Canis lupus familiaris: one gene and its partners. The protein of the gene in region 2 interacts with the protein of the main gene of each other region in a pairwise test. Links are inferred from orthologs where the notes say so. Each region holds a gene or a part of one and is shown on either strand. Other genes may lie near its edges. The genes, in order: GRAP2, EGFR, STAT5A, CTNND1, FKBP4, STUB1 and EEF1G.

Evidence for each region.
Region 1: the proteins of EGFR (region 2) and GRAP2 interact in binary tests that used the Homo sapiens proteins (3 or more experiments, as listed by UniProt). The link is inferred for Canis lupus familiaris from reciprocal best matches to the Homo sapiens genes EGFR and GRAP2.
Region 3: the proteins of EGFR (region 2) and STAT5A interact in binary tests that used the Homo sapiens proteins (3 or more experiments, as listed by UniProt). The link is inferred for Canis lupus familiaris from reciprocal best matches to the Homo sapiens genes EGFR and STAT5A.
Region 4: the proteins of EGFR (region 2) and CTNND1 interact in binary tests that used the Homo sapiens proteins (3 or more experiments, as listed by UniProt). The link is inferred for Canis lupus familiaris from reciprocal best matches to the Homo sapiens genes EGFR and CTNND1.
Region 5: the proteins of EGFR (region 2) and FKBP4 interact in a protein complementation assay, tested with the Homo sapiens proteins (2 studies listed by BioGRID and IntAct). The link is inferred for Canis lupus familiaris from reciprocal best matches to the Homo sapiens genes EGFR and FKBP4.
Region 6: the proteins of EGFR (region 2) and STUB1 interact in binary tests that used the Homo sapiens proteins (3 or more experiments, as listed by UniProt). The link is inferred for Canis lupus familiaris from reciprocal best matches to the Homo sapiens genes EGFR and STUB1.
Region 7: the proteins of EGFR (region 2) and EEF1G interact in a protein complementation assay, tested with the Homo sapiens proteins (2 studies listed by BioGRID and IntAct). The link is inferred for Canis lupus familiaris from reciprocal best matches to the Homo sapiens genes EGFR and EEF1G.

Annotation. Positions count from the first base shown.
Region 1 is NC_049231.1:26,178,260-26,182,514, forward strand, and holds the start of GRAP2 (GRB2-related adapter protein 2), read right to left. Parts: upstream 2,801-4,255; 5' UTR 2,470-2,800; intron 1-2,469. UniProt on the Homo sapiens protein: Interacts with SLP-76 to regulate NF-AT activation. Binds to tyrosine-phosphorylated shc.
Region 2 is NC_049239.1:6,117,845-6,121,344, forward strand, and holds part of EGFR (epidermal growth factor receptor), read left to right. Parts: intron 1-1,171; coding exon 1,172-1,371; intron 1,372-2,488; coding exon 2,489-2,621; intron 2,622-3,500. UniProt on the Homo sapiens protein: Receptor tyrosine kinase binding ligands of the EGF family and activating several signaling cascades to convert extracellular cues into appropriate cellular responses.
Region 3 is NC_049230.1:20,489,911-20,492,878, reverse strand, and holds the end of STAT5A (signal transducer and activator of transcription 5A), read left to right. Parts: coding exon 1-68; intron 69-1,047; coding exon 1,048-1,210; 3' UTR 1,211-2,468; downstream 2,469-2,968. UniProt on the Homo sapiens protein: Carries out a dual function: signal transduction and activation of transcription. Mediates cellular responses to the cytokine KITLG/SCF and other growth factors. Mediates cellular responses to ERBB4.
Region 4 is NC_049239.1:38,896,995-38,900,494, reverse strand, and holds part of CTNND1 (catenin delta-1), read left to right. Parts: intron 1-954; coding exon 955-1,418; intron 1,419-2,525; coding exon 2,526-2,709; intron 2,710-3,500. UniProt on the Homo sapiens protein: Key regulator of cell-cell adhesion that associates with and regulates the cell adhesion properties of both C-, E- and N-cadherins, being critical for their surface stability.
Region 5 is NC_049248.1:4,083,597-4,087,654, forward strand, and holds the start of FKBP4 (peptidyl-prolyl cis-trans isomerase FKBP4), read left to right. Parts: upstream 1-1,258; 5' UTR 1,259-1,304; coding exon 1,305-1,409; intron 1,410-1,753; exon of another isoform or gene 1,754-1,879; intron 1,880-3,633; coding exon 3,634-3,778; intron 3,779-4,058. UniProt on the Homo sapiens protein: Immunophilin protein with PPIase and co-chaperone activities. Component of steroid receptors heterocomplexes through interaction with heat-shock protein 90 (HSP90).
Region 6 is NC_049227.1:40,363,663-40,367,875, reverse strand, and holds STUB1 (E3 ubiquitin-protein ligase CHIP), read left to right. Parts: upstream 1-1,413; 5' UTR 1,414-1,526; coding exon 1,527-1,685; intron 1,686-2,241; coding exon 2,242-2,440; intron 2,441-2,532; coding exon 2,533-2,698; intron 2,699-2,758; exon of another isoform or gene 2,759-2,907; coding exon 2,908-2,995; exon of another isoform or gene 2,996-3,113; coding exon 3,114-3,170; exon of another isoform or gene 3,171-3,250; coding exon 3,251-3,367; intron 3,368-3,444; coding exon 3,445-3,570; 3' UTR 3,571-3,818; downstream 3,819-4,213. Other genes in the region: RHBDL1 (rhomboid-related protein 1), read left to right, coding at 1-15; JMJD8 (jmjC domain-containing protein 8), read right to left, coding at 3,865-3,945, 4,020-4,154. UniProt on the Homo sapiens protein: E3 ubiquitin-protein ligase which targets misfolded chaperone substrates towards proteasomal degradation.
Region 7 is NC_049239.1:54,579,813-54,583,931, forward strand, and holds the start of EEF1G (elongation factor 1-gamma), read left to right. Parts: upstream 1-1,319; 5' UTR 1,320-1,466; coding exon 1,467-1,478; intron 1,479-2,585; coding exon 2,586-2,744; intron 2,745-3,455; coding exon 3,456-3,519; intron 3,520-3,674; coding exon 3,675-3,817; intron 3,818-4,119. Other genes in the region: TUT1 (speckle targeted PIP5K1A-regulated poly(A) polymerase), read left to right, coding at 1-270. UniProt on the Homo sapiens protein: Probably plays a role in anchoring the complex to other cellular components.

The DNA of each region.
Region 1 (4,255 bases), on a different chromosome or scaffold from region 2:
AAGATAGCAGTTGGTGAGTCTAGCAGGTAAGGTAGAGGTATTCGTTGTACTAATACTTTAAACTTTTTCGTTTGGACTTTTTCTTCACTTTCTTCATAAAATGTCTTATATCTTCTTCGGAGAGCATGTGAGACTTTTATCTTCATGTACTTAGTAATAGTTTCTTTCAATTCTCTATAATGTTTGTGAATGCATATTTAAAAAGAAATTTTTAAAAATCACTTACTGAATTTCTATTTGCTCAACCTTACTGAAACCTGATAGTAACATTGAAGAGTGCTCCATGTTAATATAGGGCCTGATACATAGTGAACGCCCAATAAATGTTTGTAAATGCTTATGTGTTAAATTTATTTTGTTCCTGAGAATTTTAAAGTTGCAGGCAGAAAGAAAGAAAGAAGAAAGAAAGAAGGAAGGAAAGAAAGAAAGAAAGAAAGAAAGAAAGAAAGAAAGAAAGAAAGAAAGAAAGGAGACTATTCTTCCTTTGCAGATCAAGAAGATATGCTTTAGCAAATACTTGAGATGGACAAAATGGGGGTGAAGCAACCCCATCTTGTGATTCAAATAACTTAGGTCACAAAGATTCTTAACCACATTTTGAATTTTTAGGACAGGATGAAAATGAAGAATCCGGCCCTAAGACTAATCCAGCAGCAACTGTTACTTATTTAAGAATTCCTCATGGAATCACACTTGATGACACATTTTGAACAACTGTAGATTTTTCTTGATCCAGGAAAAGAGGCAAGTCCTGCTCAAGTTCAGGCGTGAGTGCTGTAAGGCACCAGCATCAGCAGGTGTTATTATACTCTGAGAACCAATACATTTGTGGGAATCGGGGATCATTTTCAACTCTTCCAGAAGGCAATGGTTCTAAGAGAGATGAGGTATATTTTGTATAAAAGTGGAAAAAAAATGATCAATTCAAAGCAATAATTAATGATACAAGTTTGCATTTTTAGAGTGCTTTTTTTCCTAAGGCACTTCGTATCTGTGTGAGCTCATTTATTCTCATAGTATCTCTGTGAAGTAGACATAGAACAACTGAACTAACAGAACAAAAGGGATTTTCATCAGGACATAAGATGTGAGAGATATTCAGAAGGATATCTTAGTAGCAATAGAATTATTACTTAAATCGATACTGAACAAATCGATAGTGTTCCTCCCTTCTGCTTCAGTAAAGTCATTTTAAAAAATAAAATAAGTAAAAAATAATAATAATAAAATAAGTAATATATTAGGGAAAATAAGCCTATAATTTATGGGAGACACTCCAAGTCTGATCTTATTCAACAATACAGGCCTCTCTTTACAAAAAACAAAGTTCTCAAAAAGAGTACAAATCATAGTTTTTAAAACTTGAAATTTAAATGCACTTCAATGGTTCTGTATTTACAGTGTTCTTTATTTAACAGTGGGTTTTGTAGAGGTTTTCCTTAAAATTACATTATAAACATGAAGTTTTATAAACAATACTGGGTTGTTAAAGCAGAGTCTACTTACACTAAACGTTCTTTCTGAAACCAAAAATAAGAAAAAATGGAGGACCCCCACTGAAGAACCGCTCAGTCTATGATAAATGCAGTTGTATAGAACAAAAGATGCTTCAACCTGAGGTTTCCACCCTCAGATGACATAACATGAGCACATGCAACCCCTTCAGAAACAGAATTTTAGATCCTAAACATTTCCCTCTTAATTTATGTGGGGCTGAATATTTTCAGTAATGTGCAGATTAAGTTACTCATACCTTATTAACAAGGACCCATTCCAGGTATGTAAACATGGTATTTTTAATTTAGTGAAATCCTTCGTGGGTATACTCAACCCCCATATTCAGGAGTAGTTGGGGCAAAGAGCACAAAGGAGCTGTCTTCAGCTCAATGCCTGAATTGGGCACCATCTTAGGGACCTGGCACTAATTATCAATAAAGAGATAAAGATAGACAATACTCTCTCAAAACCTATTTCAACATAAAGTTTTCTTTTTGTAAAGAGATCCAAAGTGGTATTCTCTGTAAAGGTACGATAAATACTGACAGAACTAGAAACGTATGTAAAAGAGCCATCCTGACCCTACAGTGCCAATGTTCATTCATTGCTGCCCAGACCTTCATTCCCGCCTTCAATTGGATTTCAGTGCCGACATGGAGAGGTGGGATTTCACCTCTGTAATGGGTCTAAAGTCTCCCTGGGATGGCTCAGAGGCCAATTAGTGGAGAATTTTGTGTGCTAGACTGGATAAGGAACAAGTTCTTCTGCTGGAAGTTGAATCCCATCACACCAAGCATTGTTACAGCAAAAGACATACAGACCTTTGTGGATGGACCAAAATATAAAAAAGCAATATTTAGAGAACCCATGGGATTCATTTTAATTAGATTTGACTTATAGAGAACATCCTGCAAGTTACAAAACTATTCAAGATCTCTAGAGTATATGGCCCGACGTTGTGTAATGACATACCTTTTTGAAGAGAGGAGGTCGAGTCTATGTCTTGGCTTTGACACCAAATTAATAGTATCTTCTCTTGCAAGAAGGAAGATGAAATAAAATATCAAAATTATTGCATTTCAGAGTACAGATCCACCATGTGCTATCTTCCAAGGATCATACTAAAACAGGGTTCAAGTTCACAGATCCATTAATAATGCCTCCTCCTGCCTTACTTCTTACTCCCTCCTCCAAACTACCCCCAGTCAGCCCTGCAGTCTGTAGGCAAACCACACAGGAACTAGCAGATACAGGGCTTCAGAGAGTTGGGCGTGAGCCTTAGATTATGTGGTTTTGTTTTCTTGCTGCCAGAGTTGAACTAAAATGCAGGAGGTTCTCTGAAACACTTTTGCTTCTTGATGCTTGGTTTCAATTTTAACAATTTCCCCCCCCCGAATGATTATGTTCCCATAAGAAAATTTCTAATCCTAGAGGTGATCCATCAACAAGCTGTTGCTGCTCTGAAGGAAAACTCTGATTTTCCCTTATTACATCCAAGAATCCAGAGGAAAAAAAATAGGGCTTCTTCACTTCGGGGAATTTATATAAAACCACCCTGGAATCACTCACAAAGCTAAAATCCCAGAGGATATGCTTTCTCAGTAACCTCAGGCCATAATATTACTCTTAGTCCATAACATTACCCTTAACGGAAAACACAAGAAGAAAAGCTCTGAGCCAGGAGGAGTTCTAACACCAGTTTTGCCAATCAGGCATGAACTGGGACGGGTTCCTTAGATTTGGGGGATTTCTCTTTCTCCTAAGTTGGTTGGGCTAAAGGATTTCTGGAATTTAAAGAGTTTTCACTGACTCAAGGTTCTTGACACCATCAACTTCTTTAGTTTTTACCTTCAAATTTGTGAAAAACCCTACTCCCCTTTAGGTTCCCATACCAAGTGCAACTTGTGAAGGCCTCTTCCTCTCTTTGCTCTCACTAGCAATGGATTGCCAACGATGCATCTTTTGCACAAAGTAAGAGACATTGCTGCTTGCTTAGTGGCACCAGTCAGAGTTTGGGCCCAAGAGAAAGAGGGAAATGCTGGTTGACAGGATGTTCCCAGTATTTATCCCTTGAAGGCTCAGAAGGAGGATATCATATAAAACTCAGTTTGGAGTTCTAAAATTTAAAGTCATTCTACATCATAAGATGATATCCTTTCTAAAAAATCTTTTCACCCCCTTTATACCTAAATCTTCGAAATGTCCTTTCTTGGGGGGGGGGTGAGGGGGTGTCACTCCTTGGTGATAATTGCTCAACACTTTTATTGAAATACAAAAGAAGAATCCGGTTTGGAATCAACAGAGTACTTTGGTCACAGGAGGTGCTCAATAAATATTTATTGAATGAGTTAAAGGAAGGAATTTGCTACTCCTGATTCCTTAATGAAGGTTTTTCTTTTTGTTAATACAAGTTCGTTACATTTTCTTAAATCCAAGTTGTGTCTGAACAGGGTCCCCACTATTTTCACATGTTGCAAAGATAGAATTTTAAAGTTAACAGAGTGGTTATTGACTTCAGAACAATAAATATCTTGGGGCACCTGGGTGGCTTAGTCAGTTAAGCATCTGCCCTCCGCTCAGGTCATAATCTTGGGGGTACTGGGATCCAGCCACATTCGGCTCTGCTCAGTGGGGAGTCTGCTTCTCCGCTTCTCCCTCTCCCTCTTCCTCTCCCTCTGTGCTCTCTTTCTCAAATAAATAAATAAAACCTTTAAAACACACACACACAAAAACCCCTAAAGCAATAAATTCTCACTGT
Region 2 (3,500 bases):
CTGGTCTCCTACACAGGGCTCCTCGCTTTCCTCAGGAGCAGGCTGTGGAAAGGGAGGAGGAGGAGGAAAAGGTTGAGGGAGAAACAGAGACAAGGAGAGAGGAGGAATCTCCAAGTTAAACTTTTGTCATCCTGTGTATGATGTCTCCTCATTCGGTGCTGTCTCAACTAGTCCATTCCCTGTCTTGGTGTCCAGTGAGCTTCCCAAAAATGCAAGTCTCTTTCCTATGGTTTCCATCATTTGCAGACCACAACCGAGCTCAAGGTGTCCAAGTAACCGGACACTTCTTCCAGGCTTCTGCTCCAGCAGTAGCTCCTGGTTCTCAGCACCCATCAGCTGCTTTCTTGCCTTCCTGCTCCTGTTCAGGACTTCCCTCCCTTCAGGGTGAATGACTTTTGCCCAATCACTTGATGGAAACCTATTGATAGCCTTATAGAGTTCTAGCACAGAGTTGGGTGGTTCAAATGATTGTTCAGTAAATGGATAGATCGATGAATCAGTGCATCAACAGGTGGAGGGATAGATGGATGAATGGATAGATGAATCCATGGATGAATGGATAGATGAGTGGGAAGGTGGATGGATGGGTAGGTGCATGGATGCATAGATGAGTGGACAGATGAGTGGATAGATAGTTGGGTGAATAGGTGAATGGACAGATGAATGGATATGGGTGATGGATGGATGAATAGAGAGGTGGAAGGATCGATGGATGCATATGTGCATAGATACATAGACAAGTATACGGATTGATGAGTGAGTAGATAGATGGATAGATGAATGGGTGGATGCATGGGTGGAAAAGATGAACCTATGGTTTTTGAAGCGTATTTGGATATTTGAGAGGTTAGAACATGCTCTCTATTCCCAGGCACAAAAAAAAAATGCAGTGCATATAATAATGATATTAACGTTTATTCAGCCCCCACAATGCCACTGGGGTTAAAGATACTAAATGAACAAGGAACAGGCTTTTCCCTGGAGGAGCTTTAAAAAAAAAACTCTTATAATTTTCAGAAGTTGTGATACAGACTTCCTGCAATATGACTTACAATCAGTGCGAGGCAGTTTGTAGTAAACAGAAGGTGGTCCAGAAAATAAAAATAACGTTTTTAGTGATATAATCTTTTCATAATTTTTAACAACGTTATGTTTCTTCTCCCCGCGACAGTGGCCAGTTTTCTCTGGCGGTCGTCGGCCTGAACATAACGTCCTTGGGATTACGCTCCCTCAAGGAGATAAGCGATGGAGATGTGATCATCTCTGGAAACCGAAAATTGTGCTATGCAAATACAATAAACTGGAAGAAACTCTTTGGGACTTCAAGTCAGAAAACCAAAATTATAAACAACAAAGATGAAAAAGCCTGCAGTAAGTAATCACTCTGGTTGATTGTGGAGATGGTTCACATGGATCATTTCTTTTGATTTAGAATATTCCCAAACAGGGCACCTGGGTGGCTCAGTGGTTGAGCATCCGCCTTTGGCTCGGGTCATGATCCCGGGGTCCTGGGATCGAGTCCTGCATCAGGTTCCCTGCAGGGAGACTGCTTCCCCTCTGCCTGTGTCTCTGCCCCTCTCCCTGTCTCTGTGTCTCTCACGAATAAATAAATAAAATCCTTTAAAAAAATTTATTTTAAAAAGGAATATCCCCAAACATTTAAGTTACATTTTTCATTCCTGAAGAAGCAGATTAAAAGAAATCTGTATATTCCTAAATGTGAAGTTATCGTGTAAAGTTCATTGGAATTGTTTCCAAATCACTCACATGTCATAGGATGGATTTGCCTTGAGATTTAAGCTATCAATTATTTATTTATAATTTACAGAACTGAGTTTTGTATACATTATCTTACCTTTTAGCCTCTGATGAACGTAGCTAGCAACACATACACACACGCACGTGCACACACACACGTGCACACGCGTGCAGGTAGAATGAACATTTACACTGACATTTTCTAGTCTGAGTTTAGAGTCCCAGGCAGCTCTTGAAGCCAGGCGTGCCCGTTACCTGGTCACTGGGAGAAGCAGATCTGAGGTCACACCCTGACTCTAGCCCTTCCCAGCTTCCAGACTGTGGTCAGTTTACTCAGCATGTGTAGGCCTCGGCTTCCTCAGTGATTCTCACTGCTTGGGAGAGAATTAAATGGAATTTTACATGTAAAACTCTTGGCATGGTGCCCAGCACACGGCAAGGCCCACAAACCTTCCCTGTGTTTCCATCAGCTATGACATTCATCCGCAAAATGCTACCCAGCTCCAGGCCAGGAACCCTTGACTCCCCGCAGGGAAGAGGAACTTGTAGTTGGCCTCTGGAAGCCCGTTGTGTGTCATCGCTTCTTCCAGGCCCCCCCACCCCACCCCGCCATGTCCATGCAGCTCAAGGTCACAGAGAGCCCAGCATCCCACTTACAGGAGCGGTCTCAAGTGGCCCCTCCAGTCACTGTGCCATAGCTGACCCCTTGTGTCTCGGTCTGTCTTCTCAGAGGCCATAGGCCACGTCTGCCATCCATTGTGCTCCTCAGAAGGCTGCTGGGGCCCAGGGCCGAGAGACTGCGTGTCCTGCCGAAACGTCAGCCGTGGCAAGGAATGTGTGGAAAAGTGCAACATTCTGGAGGGGTAAGGCTATCTCTTAACCCCTTTTGTTTTCATTAAAAAATAATAATAAGGCGATTGTTTTTATAGGTTTACAGTTACTTCACTTTGAAACTTATCCTTTTGTTTTTTTCCCTTTTTCTTTGGTCTTTATTTCTTGACAACTGTTAATCACAAAAGGAAATGAACAAACTTTTTTCATTACTTAATCCTATCCACTAATTTAGAGAGTCTCTATTTTTGGAAATACCTGATAATTTTCTCAGCCACACAGAGTTCCCAAGACAAATGGAAAAGTCAGAAATGGTTTGTGTGGCCAAGACCACAGCCGTTTAGACTTTTCTTTGGAATTACTCTTCCTGGCATGTCAAAATATCCTAGTATAAATTACATTTCCCGGTTAATTTGTTTCATGTTCAACAAATACCAAACTGTGCAAATAACTTTAAATGTAACCATGGACAAAGAAATAAACAAGCATATAACATAACCATTGTTAAATTTATTTGCCATCAATAGAAAGTCCAATCTGTTGCTTCTGTGGGAATCTTGATACTGATGTCAAGCTTTTTGCATGACCTCAAATAATGACTAAGAATAAATTAATAGGAAAGTAAAATTGAAGGATAGAGAGAGGCAGAGGTGCTTTTTTTTGTTTTTTAATGTAAAGAAAAGGGGAAATTTTGTGAGAGAGAAGAGCCATGGGAATTACAGATGGCTACAGGAACCATCCTTCTTGTTCGCTTTCAGCGCTTGGGCCACAGTACGGATCCAGAAATATTTAGGAACAGGATGAGAAGCCCAAGTCCAACTCTGTAGGAATCCTTTAGCAGGTGCGCTCGGTCACCTAACAGAGTCCTTTGTATAATTGACAGTGTTGCTTCAACAAGTAAGAAATATTGG
Region 3 (2,968 bases), on a different chromosome or scaffold from region 2:
ACCTACATGGACCAGGCCCCCTCCCCGGCCGTGTGCCCCCAGGCTCATTATAACATGTACCCACAAAAGTAGGTTGTGTTCTCACGGGGCTTCTCGGGGAGGACCTGGGCACCTGGCCTCAGGCTGGGCCCCCAGAGGGCTGGTGGGCAAAGGGACCCAGAGCTCCTGTAGGTCTAAGACCACCCAGGCTGGGCTCTAGCATGTACCCAGGTGCAGGGAGGGGGATCAGTCAGTAAAAAGTGTAGAGCATGGGCTACACATAGCAGGCTCCTTGCTCTGAGGCTGACTAGCTATGTGGCCTTGGGAAAATTATTGAGCCTCCCAGATGCTCAGTTTCCTCATCTGTAAAATAAAGGCAAGAATACCTACCACATGGGATTGGGGGCAGGACTGAGAGAGTACAGGTAAAAGCATTTAGCTCAGGTGAAGCTGTTGTTCTTAAGAGTTGGGTGGAAACAAGGTATCAATTGCTTTCCTCTGGAGTTTCCAGGGCAGAGAAATAATTCTCTTCTGAGCCATGGGTGGCCCCAGCTGGATGTGTCTGGGTGCCTGGGAGGCACAAGCTACAGTGGGATGACCATGGGTTACAAGTCACAAAGACCAGTCCTGAATCAATTTGCCAGCCAGGTGGCCCTGCGCAAGTTTCCAAATTGAGCCTCAGTTTTCCCCTCTGTAAAGTGGAGTAAATACCTACCTAACAGGTGGCTAAGGTGACATGACACCTGATGTAGGTGTTCAGAAGGAGCCCAGGATAGAGCGGAATAGCATTGCAGTGGGCCAAACTCACTGGCCCAACCGCCCCGTTTTGCAGAGGATGACAGAGACAGGGGCAGGGAGAGGAACTCTCTGAATCCACTGAAGAAGGCAGTGAGAGTTGAGACTAGAACTTGAGTATCTCCCAATGAGCCAACAACTGACGTTTTCAATTTGGGGTTAGGGAGGCGTCCAGGCAGAGCCAGTCGTGTTCCCATGAGACTGTAGTCTGAGTGCGGAGGGGGCCGGAGGCACACCAGCTCCCTCTGACCTCCCTCACCCTCTCCCTCCCAGCCCTGACTCCGTCCTTGACCAGGATGGAGAATTTGACCTGGACGAGACCATGGACGTAGCCCGGCATGTGGAGGAACTCTTACGCCGCCCAATGGACAGTCTGGACCCCCGCCTCTCCCCACCTGCTGGTCTTTTCACTGCGGCCCGAGGCTCCCTCTCATGAATGCTTGAATCCCAGGCTTCTCTTTGGAAACAACACTCAGTGTGAAGGGGTCATGTTAATTGTGATTTTAGTGTTGCTGTGCATATATTGGTGCCTCTGCTGGCAGCACATGTCCACACGTACGTGTGTGTGTGCATGTGTGTGCGTGCGGACACACAAGATGTGCCTGTCTTGCCTTTGTCCTCCTGGGACAGCAGCCACCCTCTTGCTTTTCAGATCAGGGCATCCCAAGAGCACTTGGGGCCTGTATCTGTTGTAGAAGGGGCCGCTTTTGCTGCTATTGCAGGCACGCAATGCAGGCAAACCTATTCCTGCAGGGGCCTTTACTGCCTAGCACTTGTTTGAATGAAATTATTCAAGAAGGGCCCCGGAGGCAGGTCATGTCTCTAAGCTTAAGTCGTACTCCTGAGTTAGAAGCTTTGACTCCCAAAGCTTGTACATGTGCATTTATGTATGTGCATCTGCTCTCAACGTGTGTTGGTCTATTGATTCTTCCCTTCGGGAGGGAGGCCAGGGGTTCAATTTTGAGTAATATTTTATAGTTTAATGACTATGGACTTGTGACTTTTGTGAACCAAGTGCTTATCCAGGCCGTGGCCCTAATACAGCAGAAATGGGTCACTGGAGTCGGGTCTGTCAGGGCTGCTGTAAGCATGTAGTTTCTTGGCCTCCTGGCCTCCACCAGGGTACTTGGGCTTCACATCTGTGGTGCTGTTGCCCAGTCCTGTTCTCTTTCCAACTCTCTCCCCTTCCCTCCATCCGGCCTCAGCCACCTTTCCCTGACGCTCTGCAACCTTGCTCCCAGGAGAGGTAGGACACGGCCAGGAACAGGTCTAGGACATGGTGGGTGAACAGAGGGCCCGGGACTTCAGTGTTGATTCCCTCCCCTCCTGGAAGAAAAAACCCTGCAGTAAGAGACAGCATCAATTATAGCTGCTTGCCGCAGGCCTGTGCAATCTGGAGCGAGGGGTAAAAGCCTGTCTCTGTCCACTCTGCTGGGGGGTACACCTGGAACAGGCCTCATCACCATTGCATAACGCTGAGGTCTGAGAAAGCCTGGCTCCCAGCCTCATGCGCCCCTCCTTCTGAGGCTATGAGACATGCAGTGGGGGGCCGCTGTTGGCAGAAGGTGGGGAGTCTCAGGTCTAAACATCCCTGAAGGAAGGTGGGGACAAGGAGAGGGATTCTTGTGTACTTTGTACATAGGCCACACATTTGTGTAAACAGTGTTTTTGAATAAAGTATTTTTTTTTTCATATGTTTGGTGGTGCGGCTCCTGGTTGGGCAGCCCCCGCCCCTGCCCCGCCTGCTCCTTGGGAATGGGGATCCCTGGCACTGGGGCTGCATTGCCCTTCCCTCCTGTGTGCCTGATGCTGTAATTGTTTCTAAAGCTACAACTCTGCTCCCTTTTCCGTGTGTTGAGGATGCTGTCCAGCCCCGGGTCGCTGTCAGTGCGCTGCTCAGACGACGGAACGAGTAGCGCTTGAGGCCTTGGGGAAAGGTGGGGCGGGAATTCCGGGGTAGGGGCCGGGAGCGGGAAGAACGGGGTCCGGGGGTCCCGGCCTCTCCGCATCAGTCGCCGCTCCAAGCGATCGTGCAGCCCGCCCTTGGCGGAGGGCCGGGGCCGGGCCGGGGCGGCAGCGCCTCCCCACCAGTCCCTCCTCCCGAGGCCTCTCCCCGGACGCCAGCAGGTGGCACCATCCCGCTGCCACCAGCCCGTTCGAAGGGCCGGCGGGCCGGTGACCCGCAGGGAAGCTG
Region 4 (3,500 bases), about 33 Mb from region 2:
GATTCTCCTCTCCTATGGGAGCCAGAGGGTGAGATGAGCTCGCAGATAATGGGTCTCTTCCTTCCTGGTGGTTATGAATAAATAATAGTGTGACAGATTCACCCTCTAGTGGTTGCTGGTAGTATTGAAATAGGAAGAATTTTCTTCGGTGAGACTTTTCTTTCTTCCATTGCTTTGTCTCTTGTTTTCTTTCTTAGTCGTTGGGTATCTCAAGTGCTGGGGTGCTCAGTAGCCTCTGTTTTGACAGGATCCGAGGTATTGTTTTTAGAAATTGGAGGCTAGGAACCATATCTCGAACACATTTGTTGAGTGTCAGAGATGACTTTGGGATGAACTGTGAAAATTAATGTTCAAGCTTATACCAAAGCCAAGTTTCCCTACGATATAGCAAGAAGGCCTATACTATTTCTACTCTTTTCACGTCTTTTATAATTTCCAAAATAAGATAAGGAGAGGCTTTAAATAAGAAGTGTGTTTAAGGGTCTAATCCCAGCAGCTGTTTCCTATGTGTAAATGCCTCATTTCCTGTTTAGCTGAAGGCTTGTAAGAACTGTTCTCAGACATTGTTTGCTGACTTCTTGGGTTTAACTCTGTCGTCTGAGGGTTTATTTCAGTCTCTATCCAGAGCGCTTAGCTGTCAGGTATCATTTAACTCAGGATTTGATTCTGTTTTTGTGATTAACATCTCTGAATGCTAATTATTCTCTGAACTAGTAAACTTGACAGGAAAAAAGGTATTTTTAATCTAACTGCAGATGCCTTTGAAATTGTTCCCTTATCCCCTTAAGAAAAATTGATCAGTATATCATTTATGCAAAGGAGAGGTAAGATGTAGTGTACTAGAGCTGAAGTTACTCCTGCCTTGGAGGTAAGGGGTCATAGGAGCTCCCCAGGAAACCAGACTAGACAACTTGATGTATTCTTCTTTTCCCCTCGGTTCCTTCAACACTGCAGGAGCTATGAAGACATGATTGGTGAGGAGGTGCCTTCGGACCAGTACTATTGGGCTCCTCTGGCCCAGCACGAACGGGGAAGTTTAGCAAGCTTGGATAGCCTGCGCAAGGGGGGGCCTCCACCCCCTAACTGGAGACAGCCAGAGCTGCCTGAGGTGATAGCCATGTTAGGATTCCGCTTGGATGCCGTCAAGTCTAACGCAGCTGCATACCTGCAGCACTTGTGCTATCGCAATGACAAGGTGAAGACTGATGTTCGGAAGCTCAAGGGGATCCCAGTACTGGTGGGATTGTTAGACCACCCTAAAAAGGAAGTGCACCTTGGAGCATGTGGAGCTCTCAAGAATATCTCTTTTGGGCGTGACCAGGATAACAAGATTGCCATAAAAAACTGTGATGGTGTTCCTGCCCTTGTGCGATTGCTCCGAAAGGCTCGGGATATGGACCTCACCGAAGTCATCACCGGTGAGTTACTGGCACAAGGGCAGCTGCTGGGTTGGGGTTACCGTGACCCCTAGAGGTGTTGAGAGCTAGAAGGACTTCTGGTCCTTTTACTTTTGACTCAAGGTTGTGAACTGGTGATCTTTGGGCAGAGCTATCTCACTGATTTGTTTGGATCACATAAGGTTTTCACAATTTTAAAGAATTGATTGCTGATGTTTAAGATTCAGAAGATTTCACTTAAAATTCCAGATGTTCCTTCTATTAAAGTGTGAGAACTGGCAACAGTGGATCAGTTTTGCTACCTGACAGTAGCAAAGGTTTGAGCTGTTATGTGTGCTCTCTGGTTTGCAATAATCCTGAACATACTTCGTTATCTTTAGCCAACTACTGCCATATAGCAAGTTGTCCCAAACGCTGAAGCTGGGAGTCTTTTGCCGTTTTTTCACTCTTTTGTCATTTCTTTTAAATATCTGTTTATCTTGACTTACCTGCCTGGCATGTGTAGACACTTGAGCTTGTGGTCCTTGCTTTTAGAAGAGTTGTTTTTCATATTGTGGGTTGTGATCCATTAGTATGTATTGAACACATTTGTGGATCCCGATCAGTATTTCAAGACAAAGCAAGAACGAGAAGTGGTATAGATTAATTCTCAACGAGGACTGATCTTGCCTGCCAGGGGACATTTGCAATGTCTGGAGATGGTTTGGATTGTCATTACTTGGGTTAAGGGGAGGGAGTGCTACTGGTATATAATGAATAAAGGCCACAGATATTGCTAAACATCTAACAATGGACAGGTCAGCTTCCCACAACAAAGAAATATCTGGCCCAAAAGGTCAGCCATGCTGAGTTTGAGAAACTCTGGTATAGATAAACCAGAGAGCGTTGCTTATAGAAAGTATTTTATGAAACTTTATTTCTTGATATACATGTATGTATGTATGTATGTATATGTTGAGCCGTAATGTATATTTCTTATCATGGGTCACAAACAAAAGCTTTGAATATCATTACAAGGTATTTGGTCATTGGGGAAGACTGAGAAATGATGGAATAGGGGATTCTCTTTGGTATTCTTAAAACATACTGTCTTGGGTGTTGAAGTATCTGATGAGTTGTCTCTGCCAGGAACCCTGTGGAATCTCTCATCCCATGACTCAATCAAAATGGAGATTGTGGACCATGCATTGCATGCCTTGACAGATGAAGTGATCATCCCACATTCTGGTTGGGAGCGGGAACCTAATGAAGATTGCAAGCCACGCCATATTGAATGGGAGTCAGTGCTCACCAACACAGCTGGCTGTCTTAGGTAACATAAGGGCTTCGAGAGTATGAAGATTGAATTTTTGAGGACTAATTTAAATTTAAAAAAGAAATTCTTTTTTAATTCTTTAGCCTGTCATTCAGCTTCCATATCTATCTATATTGCACACTATGATTCCAGCCTGTCTTTCTACCTTTGTTACTACTTGCTTGTGTGCCACATACTTTTGATATGTCAGTTTACTTGTTCCCCTACACATCCTCACTTCTGTGTCTCTTTGACTTTGTTCATTTGATTTTTTTTATTAATTAATTAATTAATTATTATTTATTTATGATAGTCACAGAGAGAGAGAGGCAGAGACATAGGCAGAGGGAGAAGCAGGCTACATGCACCAGGAGCCTGATGTGGGATTCGATCCCAGGTCTCCAGGATCGCGCCCTGGGCCAAAGGCAGGCGCCAAACCGCTGCGTCACCCAGGGATCCCGACTTTGTTCATTTGATTTTGTAAACATTTGTTCAATATCTACCACGTGGAAGGCAGTTAGTTGTCTTAGTCCCGAGCTTGTGTGTATCTGTGTCCCTGTCCTCAGTGACCTGTATTTTGAGTAAAGCTGCAATAAATGCAACAAAAGGAGTACAGAGTCCTAGAATGGAGAGGGAGGAAGTTGTGTTCTTCCCTCAGGCCACAGTGCCCTTGTTTGTCTTTTTTTTTTTTTTTTTTTTTAAGATTTTAAGTAATCTCCACCCAACGTGGGGCTTGAACTTAAAACCCTGAGATCAAGAGTCACATGCTCTATCTGAGCCACCCAGGTGCCCCTCCTTATTTATCTTAT
Region 5 (4,058 bases), on a different chromosome or scaffold from region 2:
ACTTATGCAGCCAAAAACTATTTGACTCCACTCACCAGGCACTATGTTAAACTGGGGCTAAGTGCTGAGCAAAATCGACACTCTCTAGATGATTCTTTTTTGTCAAAGGCAAAATCTATCTATTCAGGTAGCTAGGGGCTGCAGAGCTCTGACTTGCCGCACAGCTGCTCTGCACTCACAGGCAGTCGGTAGATACTCGAAAACCAAGTATCAGGCAGAAAATTTTCATTGCCGTGGGTCTTTGGTAAAAAGGAGTGACTGTTTTCGTGACTTGAAACAATTTCCATTTTTAAATATTAATCTAAAGGGTCCTCCTATCATAGCTGGGGAAGGTCCCTTTAATATGCGTCCCATTTAGAGTCCTTAGCTCAGCGGGTCATTTCTTGCAAATCCTGCTCCGACCATTTTAAGCTAAAGGCGGCACGTGTTCCCGGGTCTGGGGAATTCAGGGGTGTTCTCCCAGATTCCGAGCACTGGGGTCGCCGAGCCCCCTTCCCTTCTCTCCCCCCAGCCCTCTAAGCGTCTGTACGCTGAGTGCAGAGATGCGAGGCCGCGCCGCGTGCGCCCGCCGCCGGCTTATAAAAATGCGCGTCTCGTGTGCGGGGAGATCACGTCCGGCTGCGCGGGTCGGGGCACAGCACGCCGCAGGCTGCAACGACGGGGCGGATCTGGGGCGGACCTGGGGCGGACCTGGGGCGGCGGGCACCCTCGGCCTGGGGCTGGTGCAGGGGATCGAGAAGGATCTGGAAGAATCTGGTTAGACCGGGAAACGGGCGGGGGAGGGCCAGGGAAGGGCGCTCGGGTGGGGGTGGGGTGCGGGTGAGCGGGGGAAGCCCCCGCAGTCCGAGGGCCCCAGCGTGGGGAGAGGGAGGCCAGGCGGCCGCAGGGAGGAAAGAACCGGGGGAAAGGGGAAAAAAAAAAAAAAAAAAAAAAAACCCACCCGAAGCCCAAGCCGCGCACATTCACACAGGCACCCCGAGCAGCAGGGCCCGAACTGGCTCGGCGGCCGCCGTCTCCAGAAAGTTCTCCGCCCCCGCCCCCTCCGCCCCTCGCTCCCGCCCCTGCGCCTCCCAGCCCCTCCCTCCGCGGCGGGTGGCACCAATCGCTCCCCGCGGCCGCTCATTACCCACCGACTCCCGCTCCCGCGCCGAACCCGCCGCGGGCCGCGAGCGCGCCGGAGCCAGCGGTGTTGGAGCCCGAGGCCGGTGCGCAGCCGGGCGGCCGCCGCCAGCGCCCTCCCGCCCGCCTCCCCCAGCAGACGGCCCGGCTCCCGGCTCCCGGCGTAAACGGCGCACCGAGCGGCGATGACCGCCGAGGAGATGAAGGCGGCCGAGAGCGGGGCGCAGTCGGCGCCGCTTCCCCTCGAGGGGGTGGATGTCAGCCCCAAGCAGGACGAAGGCGTGCTGAAGGTACGCGGCGGCGGCGCGGGCGGCCGGCCTCCCGCCGAGCCGGGGACCCCCGGGCGCCCCTGCAGCGTCCGCGCGCGCCGTGAGCCGGGCGTGCGCCCGCGGCCCCGTGCATCGCCCTCCCGGCCCGGGCTGCGTTGTCGGGCGGCGGGGTGCGCGGGGGCCTCGGCCGTTCCGCGGCGTCCGGGCCCGACCGCAGCGCCAACTCCGGCGTGCGCGGTGCAGCGCGGAGGGAGGGGCGGGGCCGCCGGTGGCACGCGAGGTGCCGCCAGGGGGCCCGGGCCGGCCCCGACGCCGCCCGCCGCCCCCCGCACCCGGCCCCGGCCCCGCCGCCCCGCCGCCCCGCCGCCAGCTGCAGCCGGGAAGCCCCTGGACGCGTCCGCGGGCGCTGCTGCGAGATCTCGGCTGCCTCGGGCAGTTAAACATGAGCTCGGACCCGGAGCGGCCACCGGACTGATTCTCCTGGCCCAGAGGTTCTGCTGCGACCTGGCCCGGCCCGGGGCCTGGCGCCAGCAGAGCCGGTGGCGCCCTCCGTCCCCCCGGCGGCCCCCTTCCCAGAGGCTGGGACCCAGCGAGGTCACCGGCCCAGCCATGCTGGCCCCCTCCCCCCGCCCCCGCCCCGGGAGGGCCAGCGAGCGGCATGCCGGGACCTGTAGTTCCCCTCCCCCTCGTGAGCCGGGGCCGGGCTGCGGGCCGGGAGGAGGTGCTCTGCTGGGAGCCGCGGAGCCGCGGAGGGAGGGGGCCGGGCCTCGGGGGGCAGGGCATCTTGACCTGGGTCAGGGCGACTTGATGGTGCTTCAGAGCAGGTTCTGTGCAGTACAGGATGGCGAAATCCCAGGCTGGATTTCATGCCTCCTCCTCATGCAGTGTTTCTTTTCATCCTGGCTTCCCACTGCTTAGTTGCGTGAGAGAGAGCGAGAGAGACCTGGGCAAAGCTGGAGACCTCAGGGAACCCATAAACTGGTCCAGAAACGGTCCTGGTTTTGCCCAGATCTCGGAATCTTAAGCTGTTCTCCCAGTGAGCATGTGGCTTTCTCTTCTCTCTCCAGCGTCCTGATGGTTTCTACAAGTTTATTATTCCCAGAAGGGTCCTTTGCCCTTTTCTCTTCCACTCCCTCCCTTTTGTACTCTTCAAGGCTTCTGCCCATTCTGTTATGCAGGCTTTCCCTTAATAGGTAACCACATACGTTCCAGGTGATCCATGGAGTCTCCTTGTCCCCTTATATAAATGCTAAAGAAGAGCAGCAAATCTTCCTGAGAAAGGCTCTAGTTCTCAAAACACTTCACTTGCTTCCCAATCAAGTGAATGCTCCTGTCCTGAGTCTCAGTGCCCCTGTGCCCATCGGTGACCTGGTATTTTCACAGCCTCTTTTGGACTTCTGCGATCCTGTCCATTATTCTATTTCTGTCCACAAACCAGACCCTGATATGATGACCACCAGCATTTAGGAAGAATGAGGAAACCTAGCATAAATGGTTCTCTCTTTTCTACTGATAATAATTTTCAGCTTTTTACCAGTTTAATTCTCCAATCCTGATAGGGACTATTATCACCAGTCTACAAATAAAGTCTAGAAAGCTTGACTTATACAAGATCATAGAGCAAAAACTTGAACTCCGGGTTTCTGTTTTGAGTTTTCTTCTCTCTCTCTTTTTTTTTTTTTTTTTTTACAGATTTTGTTTGTTCATGAAAAATAGAGAGGTGGCAGAGACATAGGCAGAGGGAGAAACAGGCTCCCTGCAGGGAGCTTGATTCTGGACTTGATCCTGGGATCCTAGGATCATGACCTGAGCCTAAGGCAGATGCTCAACCACTGAGCCGCCCAGGCATCCCTGTCTTGAGGTTTTTGGTTTTCTTTTCTAAAAAAAAATTTTTTTTTTAAAAAAATTCATTCATGAGAGACACACAAGAGAGGGGCAGAGACACAGGCAGAGGGAGAAGCAGGCTCCATGCAGGGAGCCTGACGTGGCAGTTGATCCCGGGACTCCAGGATCCCAAGTCCTATTGCACCTCAAGAAAGATGGAGGCAGGGTGTCAGCTGGCTTCTAGCCAGACTTAATGTCACAATCACGGGAGGTTTAGTCCTTTTGCTTACAGTGTGACAGAAGGGTCCCTCTATGTTTGCATCAGAGTCTGTGTGGGCAGTTTAAGTGCCTCATTCAGCCCCCATGCCCCGGGAAAGCCAGCAAGCTTTCCCAGTACTCACCTTCTCTGCCTTCCTCCCAGGTCATCAAGCGAGAGGGCACAGGCACGGAGATGCCCATGATTGGGGACCGAGTCTTTGTCCACTACACTGGCTGGCTGTTAGATGGCACCAAGTTTGACTCCAGTCTGGACCGCAAGGACAAATTCTCCTTTGACCTGGGCAAAGGTAGGCACGGTTAGTGGGTTGGGAGCATCAGCTCTGCGGAGGGTGTAAGCTTTCACAAGCAGAAACCATACTTTCAGAAGCGTAAGGAGGAATGGTTTGTTCAGTCCATGAATTTTTCTCGTTAAACTCGTTTTTTCTTCTCCTCTGCTGGAACCGTGTTGATCTCTCTCTCTCACTCTCTATCTCTCTCTCACCTTCCCTAATCACCTTTGGACGCCTCAGTTCCTCTTCAGGGGTAGATTCCCTGGTTTCTTTCTTTTTTTTTTTTTTTTTTAAATTT
Region 6 (4,213 bases), on a different chromosome or scaffold from region 2:
CCTCCACCACCCTGATGGGCTCCCCAGGGCCCCATGGGTCAGGGCACTGGTGTGTGTGGGCTGGCTGCCAGGCGAGCCTGCACATCTGCCCTCTGTGAATGTACACCTTGAGACTGCTTCTCCTCCGTAGGGGCAGGTGGCCCTCGCAGCCCACTGAGTCCAGGCCAAGCCTTACATCAGCCCTGGCCACCCCCTCCCAGGCCTGGGGACATAGGACTGCCTGGCCAGGCAGTGGAGGTCCCCAAGTGTGGCCCTAGGGAGACCCTGCCCCTGCCTCTCCCCCACAACTTGCGGTCTGAGCCTTTTTGGAGAATGAATAAATATTTTACACAGCAGGAGGTGGCTGCAGTGGGCTCTGGGGGCTGGCCCCAGGGGCCCGCCCGGCCCTCGCACGGCAGCCCAAGCTCTCCCGGTGCTCCCTGCACCCAAACCAGGCGTGCGCGTGTGGCGGGTGTGCGAGGAGCTGGGGTCCTCACAGGCAGCGGAGACTGCAGCCCAGCCGGTCGCCCGCCCTCCGAGAACCCTGTGGCCCGGGCCCAGCAGGGTTCAGCCAGCCTGGCTTCTCTGCGCTTCTGGGCCGGCGCGGTGTCCTTGCGGGTGGCCAGGCTGGGGCGGGTCCCACGCGGGGAGGGGTCCCGGGCCTGAGGTCCCGCCCGGGCGGGGACAGAGGGGGGCGGGGGCCCGGGCCCAGGCCATGCGGCGCTCGGGCCGGCTCTGCCTGCCGCATGCACCCCGCCTCCCCAGGGCCGCGGGCGGCGGGCGCGCGGCGGCCTCGGAGCTCCTGCAGCCGGGGCTCGAGCCTCGCCAGCGTCTGGGCAGGCGGCTCCCGCGCACCCCCGGGGTCACGGCCACGGGCCCCCCGGCAGGCGACGACACTCACCGGCCGGGCCGAGGTGGGCTGGGCGGGGTGGGTGGGGGAACCTCACCCGGAGCCCCGCCCCCCGCTTCCACGCCGGCGGCCACGTGCTCCTCCGCTCCGCCCCCGGTGGCCGCGGGGAGCCCTCTGGGGCCTGGGGAGGGCGGCGACGGAGCCTCGGGCAGCGGGGTTCGGCCGTCCTGCCACCGCTCCAGAGCTTCCAGCCGTCCCTGGCGGCCGCGGCACCTCCCCGTGCGGCGCCAGGACCGCAGCCCCGCGGCCCTCAAGGCCCCACGGCCGCGCAGCCAGCCGGCGGCCGCCTAGTCCGCGCGGGGCGGGGCCTCGGCGGGGCGGGGCCTAGGCGGGGCGGGGCCTCGGCGGGGCGGGGCCGCGCTTGTCGCTGTCCCGGACGTCCGACGTCGCGGGTCGCGTTCCCTCGAGCGCATGCGCCCAGTCGGTCCCGCCCCCCCTTGCCTCCGCGGCCCGTCGGACGCAGGCGCGCCCCCGCCCGTGCCGCTGGCCCCGCCCCGCGCGGCCGGAAGTTCCGGTGGCGGATCGCTGGACCGGGCCCGAGCGGATCGCGGGCTCGGGCTGCGGGCTCGGGCTGCGGGCGCAGGGCGGGCCAGACGCGGAGCCTGGGAGCGAAGCCCGGGCTGTGCCGCGCGGCGCTATGAAGGGCAAGGAGGAGAAGGAGGGCGGCGCGCGGCTGGGCGCCGGCGGCGGAAGCCCCGAAAAGAGCCCGAGCGCGCAGGAGCTCAAGGAGCAGGGCAACCGGCTCTTCGTGGGCCGCAAGTACCCGGAGGCGGCGGCCTGCTACGGCCGCGCCATCGTGAGTGCGCCCGCGCCGGGGGAGGGGGCCGGCGTCCGGGCGGGGGAGTGGGCGGGGCCCGGCTCGCGGCCCCGCGTCCTCCCCGGAGCCCCTGCCCCGCCGCTCCCGCCGGACCCTCGGGGCGGTCTTGGTTCGCCCGCGGGGGCGTTTGGGCCCCGAGAACTCGGTGCTGATCATGTTCCAGTCGAGCCAAGGCCGCGCGGTTCTCGAGCCAGTGCTGGTTGCTGGAGGGGCGGGTGGGAGCTTGAGGGGTGCTCGAGGCCCCAGGCCGGGACCAGGGTTCCTGTCCCTTGAGAAGCCCAGGCCCGAAGCTGGGGCTCTCCTCAGGTCCGGGAACCTCACCTTTACAAAACCTCCTGGGAGCCCCGAGAGGGTGGGCTAGCGCAGGCCTGAGGACCGGGAGTTCACTCTACAGCCCTAGCTGAGCAGAGGCTTCCAAGCTGAGAAATTTCTAGTGTCTGGATTTTAGCTACGGGCTCCCAGACCAGGACAGGGCCTAGGACAGGGCCCACGGAGCTTTTTCCCTCATGCTGGCTGGCCTGGCCTTGGTCCCCAGACCCGGAATCCTCTGGTGGCCGTGTACTACACCAACCGGGCGTTGTGCTATCTGAAGATGCAGCAGCATGAGCAGGCCCTGGCTGACTGCCGGCGGGCTCTGGAACTGGACGGGCAGTCTGTGAAGGCACACTTCTTCCTGGGGCAGTGCCAGCTAGAGATGGAGAGCTATGATGAGGCCATCGCCAACCTGCAGCGAGGTGGGCCTACAGGTTGTCAGGGGACGGCGGGGGCGCCTGGGACCAGGTGGATGGACTGGCCAGAAGGTGACCTGAAGCCCCTGTTCCCCCAGCCTACAACCTTGCCAAGGAGCAGCGGCTCAACTTCGGGGATGATATCCCTAGTGCTCTGCGCATCGCCAAGAAGAAGCGTTGGAACAGCATCGAGGAGCGGCGCATCCACCAGGAGAATGAGCTGCACTCCTACCTCACTCGGCTTATTGTGGCCGAGCGGGAGAGGTGGGCTGTGGTAGCGGCAGGCTCCAGGGCCCCACCCACCCCCAAGGCAGCACTCTGGGGTTAACTGAGTCAAGAACACAAGTGTTTATTGAAGGCCAGCACTGGCGAGCAGTTGGAGGGAAGAGAGACCTGAACAAGCCTGAGGTTGGGGTGGAGTGTGATCTCTTCTGGCCAGACCCATTCCTGACTAGCTCCTGGTCGACCCCCAGGGAGCTAGAAGAATGCCAGCGGAACCACGAGGGTGATGAGGATGATGGCCACGTCCGGGCCCAGCAGGCCTGCATCGAGGCCAAGCACGTGAGGGTGCCCCAGCCCACGTGTGGATGTGTGCGTGTTTGCGTGCCTGTGACTGGAGGGTGCCCGGGGGAGGGGGAAGGGGCATTTGGCCCACGCGTAGCTGCTTGGTTCTCCGCAGGACAAGTACTTAGCAGACATGGATGAGCTTTTCTCCCAGGTGGACGAGAAGAGAAAGGTAAGCTGTCTGTCCTCTGGGTAGCAGGAATCGGAGCCGGGTCCCCATCCTGGTGCCTGACCTGACTCCATGTGCCACAGAAGCGAGACATCCCGGACTACCTGTGTGGCAAGATCAGCTTCGAGCTTATGCGGGAGCCGTGCATCACGCCTAGTGGCATCACCTACGACCGCAAGGACATTGAGGAACACCTGCAGGTGAGAGCCAACAAGAGTGGGGAGCAGGGCCCGTAACCACTGAGCACTTTCTGACCTGCTGTCACTGCACACTGCAGCGTGTGGGCCACTTTGACCCTGTCACCCGGAGCCCCCTGACCCAGGAACAGCTCATCCCCAACCTGGCCATGAAAGAGGTCATTGATGCATTCATCTCCGAGAACGGCTGGGTGGAGGACTACTGAGGCCAGGCGAGTGCCAGAGCTGCCTGCCTTGCCTAGTACCCTGGCCCAGGTGGGCTTTGGGGCAGTAGCTCCCAGTTCCTGTACATAGTTTGTGTCCCTAGATCCCTGCCCTGGTGTCCCTTATCCCACCCTCATCAGTTCTGCTGCTGGACCATGAGCCCCACCTCCACCCCCTTCTGGGCCAGAAACAGCAGGTGAGGGTGGGCTGCTGCCACCACTGTCCTGTAATAAAACCTGTGAGCACTATAGGGGTGTGTGCTGGTGTGTGCTGGGCTCACCAGCCGCCCACTCTACCTAGCCGAGGAAAGTAGAGATAAAAACACTGGTGTCCAGGTTGAGCGTAGCATGCCACCACCGGTCAGGGAAATACAGCACCTGGTGGAGGGTGGGGCACAAGGATTAGCTGGTGGCGTGTGATCCAGCCTGACCCCTTCCTGCCACCTACTGACCTCACCAGCCTGCACGGTGCACTCCAGGGGCCTCTCAGATGGTGCCAGGGTTGGGTACACGTCCTGAAGCCAGGCCAGTGTGGTTTTGTTGGGGTGGAACTCAGGTGTCTTCTCAGGGGGATACAGGAACCAGCGCTGAGGGTGAGATCAGCCCGTCACTCCATGTTGGCAGGCAGTAAGCCCCAAGCCGCAGC
Region 7 (4,119 bases), about 48 Mb from region 2:
CAGCAGCAGACCAAGGACAAAGGTGGAGGCACTGCTGGCACAACAGCATGGCTGGCGATTGAGGCTCAGGTCACCCAGGAGCTGGGAGGACCAACCGGTGCAGCACAGCGGCCAGAGGCTGAGCCACTCCTGACCTTTGTGGCATCTGCCTCCCAGGCTGACCAGACTCTCACCGTGACCCCAATCCAGGATTCTCAAGGCCTGTTCCCTGATCTCCATCATTTCTTACAAGTTTACCTCCCTCAAGCACTTCGAAACCTCCTCAAGTGAAGACAGGGACCCTAATGGGCAATAAAGCTGCTAGTTTAATAAACACTAGAGTTTCCTCTAATTTCCACCTGGTAGTAATCCTTCCACCCACTACTTGCCCTCCCCAGACCTACTGCTCTTCTCAGACATGCCTTTTTTGGCCACCCTAAAATAGGTCTGGGCCTATTTGCTTCTTAGCATTTATCACCACCTGCAGGGAGGCCTAAATGTGGTGTGTTCCTGCACCCGGAGCCCGCTCGGTAGAGTTCTTGAAGGATGGAGTGCCAGGTGGGCGGCTTGGGCAGTACCTGGAACAAGAACCGAGTTTGCCTCCACTTTACCTTACCGCCCAGATTTATATGGTGACGGCCTGAAATCGGGGTTCAGGGTTCTTTGTCCATTCTCTCACTTAACAGAGTTCATCCTGTTCTGATTAAAACGGGGAAAAACACTGTCCGACCTGAGCGTGGGTAAAGGGGTGTCCATCATCGGTGAACTGGCAGCCCTCTGCAGGGTGGCGGGAGGCAGGGATCCGCTGTGTTCTCCCTCGGCCCTTCCCGGCTGCAGGCCCTGCACCAAGGCCCTACCTGCAGCGATTGCATCCCGGAGCCCGCCGGGTGGTTTAAACGGAGGAGACCTCACTTTGGTAGAGGGGTTTCTGACTTGGGCTCCGGTGAGATCATCCTCCTCTCCCGTAGAAAACCAGAGCGGGAACAAACGTACTTAGGCACACAGGACTGGTTTCCGCCCCTAGTGAGAGTCCCCCAGTCCTGACGTTAGGGGCCTGGAAGGATCTCCGTCAAGTCACCGCGGGTTTCCGAGCTGGAGGGGAACGCCCCTGGGACCTGGCACGGCGCGGAGTTGGCAGCCGTGCCACGTCGCCGGGAAGAGGAGGCTTTCCAGCTAGTTCTCGGTTTACCCTCCGCGCCTCGCACCTCCAAGCGGGACTCCCATTGGCCTCCGTCGCCTGCGGGGCGGGCCAGTCAAGAGTCGCGTGGCGCAGGCGCGAGCTGTCCCTGTGACGACCAGCAGGCCCCACCCCCTTCTTTCTGCAATTCAGCCGCGGCGGGGTGTAGAACTGTCGTGCGTATGCCTTCTGTGCCGTCCTCGCTTTGCGGCTGCTGTTCCTCCGCGGCTCTCCCCTCCCCCCTCCTCTCCCCGACGGCTTACTTTGCGGCAGCGCCGAGCGCCCCACCCCCTTTCTCTGCGGAATCACCATGGCGGCCGGGGTAAGTTTGCCGGCTCCGGAGATCCAGGTCGCGGTATCCGACGCCATCCTCTGCCCGAGTGGAGCCCTCCGGCGTCAGAGAAGTTCTGGAGCCGAGCGAGGGACTGGTCCTGGGTCTGGAGACCGTACTGTTGGGAGAGCAAGGCTTCCAGGCCCCGGCGGGGAGCTGAGGCTGGAGCTCTTGGAGGCCAAAGAGGTGGAAGGGTCTGGGGCAGAGCGGCCAGGAGATGTCGGATCCTGGTCTTCTGGGGCCTGAGAAGGGGGTTCGGGTTCACTGCCGCCTCGGGACGTGGGATCCGGGCAGGTTGACAGAACTTTTGCGACCGTTTTGTGGGGGAGCAGCAGGGACGGGGCGCAAAGGAGGGTCTTTGTGGGCAGGCAGGGCGGTCTCCGGGTAAGGGTCGTGCGGCGGGGAGGTGTGGGAGGGAGAGGGCTCTCCGGGCGGCGGAGCCAGACCGTGTGGCCGGTTAACAGAAGGAGAAGCAACGGCAGAACTCACTGCGGGACAGGACCGGAGGGACGAAGGGGACGCAGGACGGGAAGGAACGGCTCTTGGGGGAGACCGAGTTGGTTTAGGAGGAGAGGATGCCATTCGATTTCTCCGTGGCTTTTCGGAGGGGAACTTGGAAATGGTCGTGTGTGTGTGTGTGTGTGTGTGTGTGTGTGTGAGAGAGAGAGACAGACGGGGAGTGATGCTTTCGAAGGGGGTGAGCGGCTCAGTCGTAGAGTAGGCAGGTACTCGTTAGCCATCAATGAATGAACCAGAGCTCTAGGAAGGGAGGAATGTGTCGGCAGGTGGAGTCTGAGGGAACTACGAGTTCTGGGTTTCTCCACGATATATTGGAGGAGACGAGAATGCTTCTGGGGATGTCCTTAGGGAAGGTCAAACCTGTCAGCGCTTTATTTAGCAGTTGGTGTGTAGTTCTGTCTTGGGCATTTCAGCGGACTCTGATTACACATGGCAGATACTAGAGAGCGTGGTTCACCAGGGGGAGTAAAAGTGAGTTGAACAGATTGGGAATAACTCCGGGAATTTATCCCTGGAAGTGACATTTCCGACTGAGAGCCTCGTGCTCATTAACGTTCCCTCCCCTCCTTTCACCCACAGACCCTGTACACATATCCTGAAAACTGGAGGGCCTTCAAGGCTCTCATTGCTGCTCAGTACAGCGGGGCTCAGGTCCGCGTGCTCTCCGCACCACCCCACTTCCACTTCGGCCAAACCAACCGCACCCCTGAATTTCTCCGTAAATTTCCTGCCGGCAAGGTGAGTAGAAAAGTGGAGAGGGGTCTTTGGTCCTGAGAACCCAGGGAGTCCTGAGATGGTCTCAGTCTGAAAATGGTCTCCACCTTTAAAAGGGAATTTTCTGTATAATTTGCTCTTTATATATTTCAGTGATTTAAAATTCCTTTGAGTTAAGTGAAGATTCGCACATAGTTAAAAACGATGCAGAGCTGTTCAGTGGCTTGTTATAAAATTCGCAAGTTTCTTTGTATTTGCGGGAAAGAGAATGGGTTTTGGCTGTTTTCAGCGCAAATATATCGAGTATCTGCCATGAGCCAACCAAAGGGCTTATCGAGGTCGATAAACAACCATGCTAAACAGAGAAGAGATAAATGCAGTTCAGGGAGCACCACAATACTTTCAAGAATACGGAGAGAGATGACACTTGGTTTTTGGTCTTTTGCATATTTGATTGAGGGATTTTATATAAACAGTTGATAATATTTAAATCTTTGCGGTTTCTCATGTGAGTTCACATTGTAAGGGATACCAAGTTACTTAAATTTTATTTCTGGTTCCTAAGTTTCAGATTGTAGTAGTTCATATCAGTAGTTTGCTTAGTAAGGATTGTCAGCCTTATGTAAGAACTTTATCCCAGTATTGGCTGGTGAGTAATTCCTGATTGTTTTACCTAACGTTTTTTTTTTTTTTTTTTTTTTTTTTTAATTTTATCTTTTGACTGTTTTATCCCAGGTTCCAGCATTTGAGGGTGACGATGGATTCTGTGTGTTTGAGAGCAATGCCATTGCCTACTATGGTAATTTGCAGTGGGTGTGGGAATGGGAAGACCAGGAATGAAGGAGGTAGGAGAGGATGAGGGTGAGCTGTAGTGGACAGGAGAAGAATTTTTACGGACTTGGATCGATGTTGGCCTGACCCCAAAGTTCTGACCTTTGTGTTCTGCCTCTGCAGTGAGCAATGAGGAGCTGCGGGGAAATACTCCAGAGGCAGCAGCCCAGGTGGTGCAGTGGGTGAGCTTTGCTGATAGCGACATAGTGCCCCCAGCCAGTACCTGGGTGTTTCCTACCTTGGGCATCATGCACCACAACAAGCAGGTAAGCCTTGGAACTTGGGGAGAAGCCAAGGCCCAGGATGAAATCAGCTCCTGAGTGTCAAGGAGCAAGAAATAAAATAGATTGAGAAAAGGAGATGCTAAGAATTTGTGGATAATAAAAGACCTAATCTTTGGGGTATGAGTTTGGAGCACTGCTGTTGATAGTGTCTGGGTTCTTTGTTACACAGACCCAGTTGGAGGTGGTGCCTGTCATGAGTGGTCAGAGGAGAGATTTCTGTTATAGAAAAGCTATCCCAAATGGTAGGGGAGTGGTTACATCAGGTGACTTCTAAGGTTCCTTCT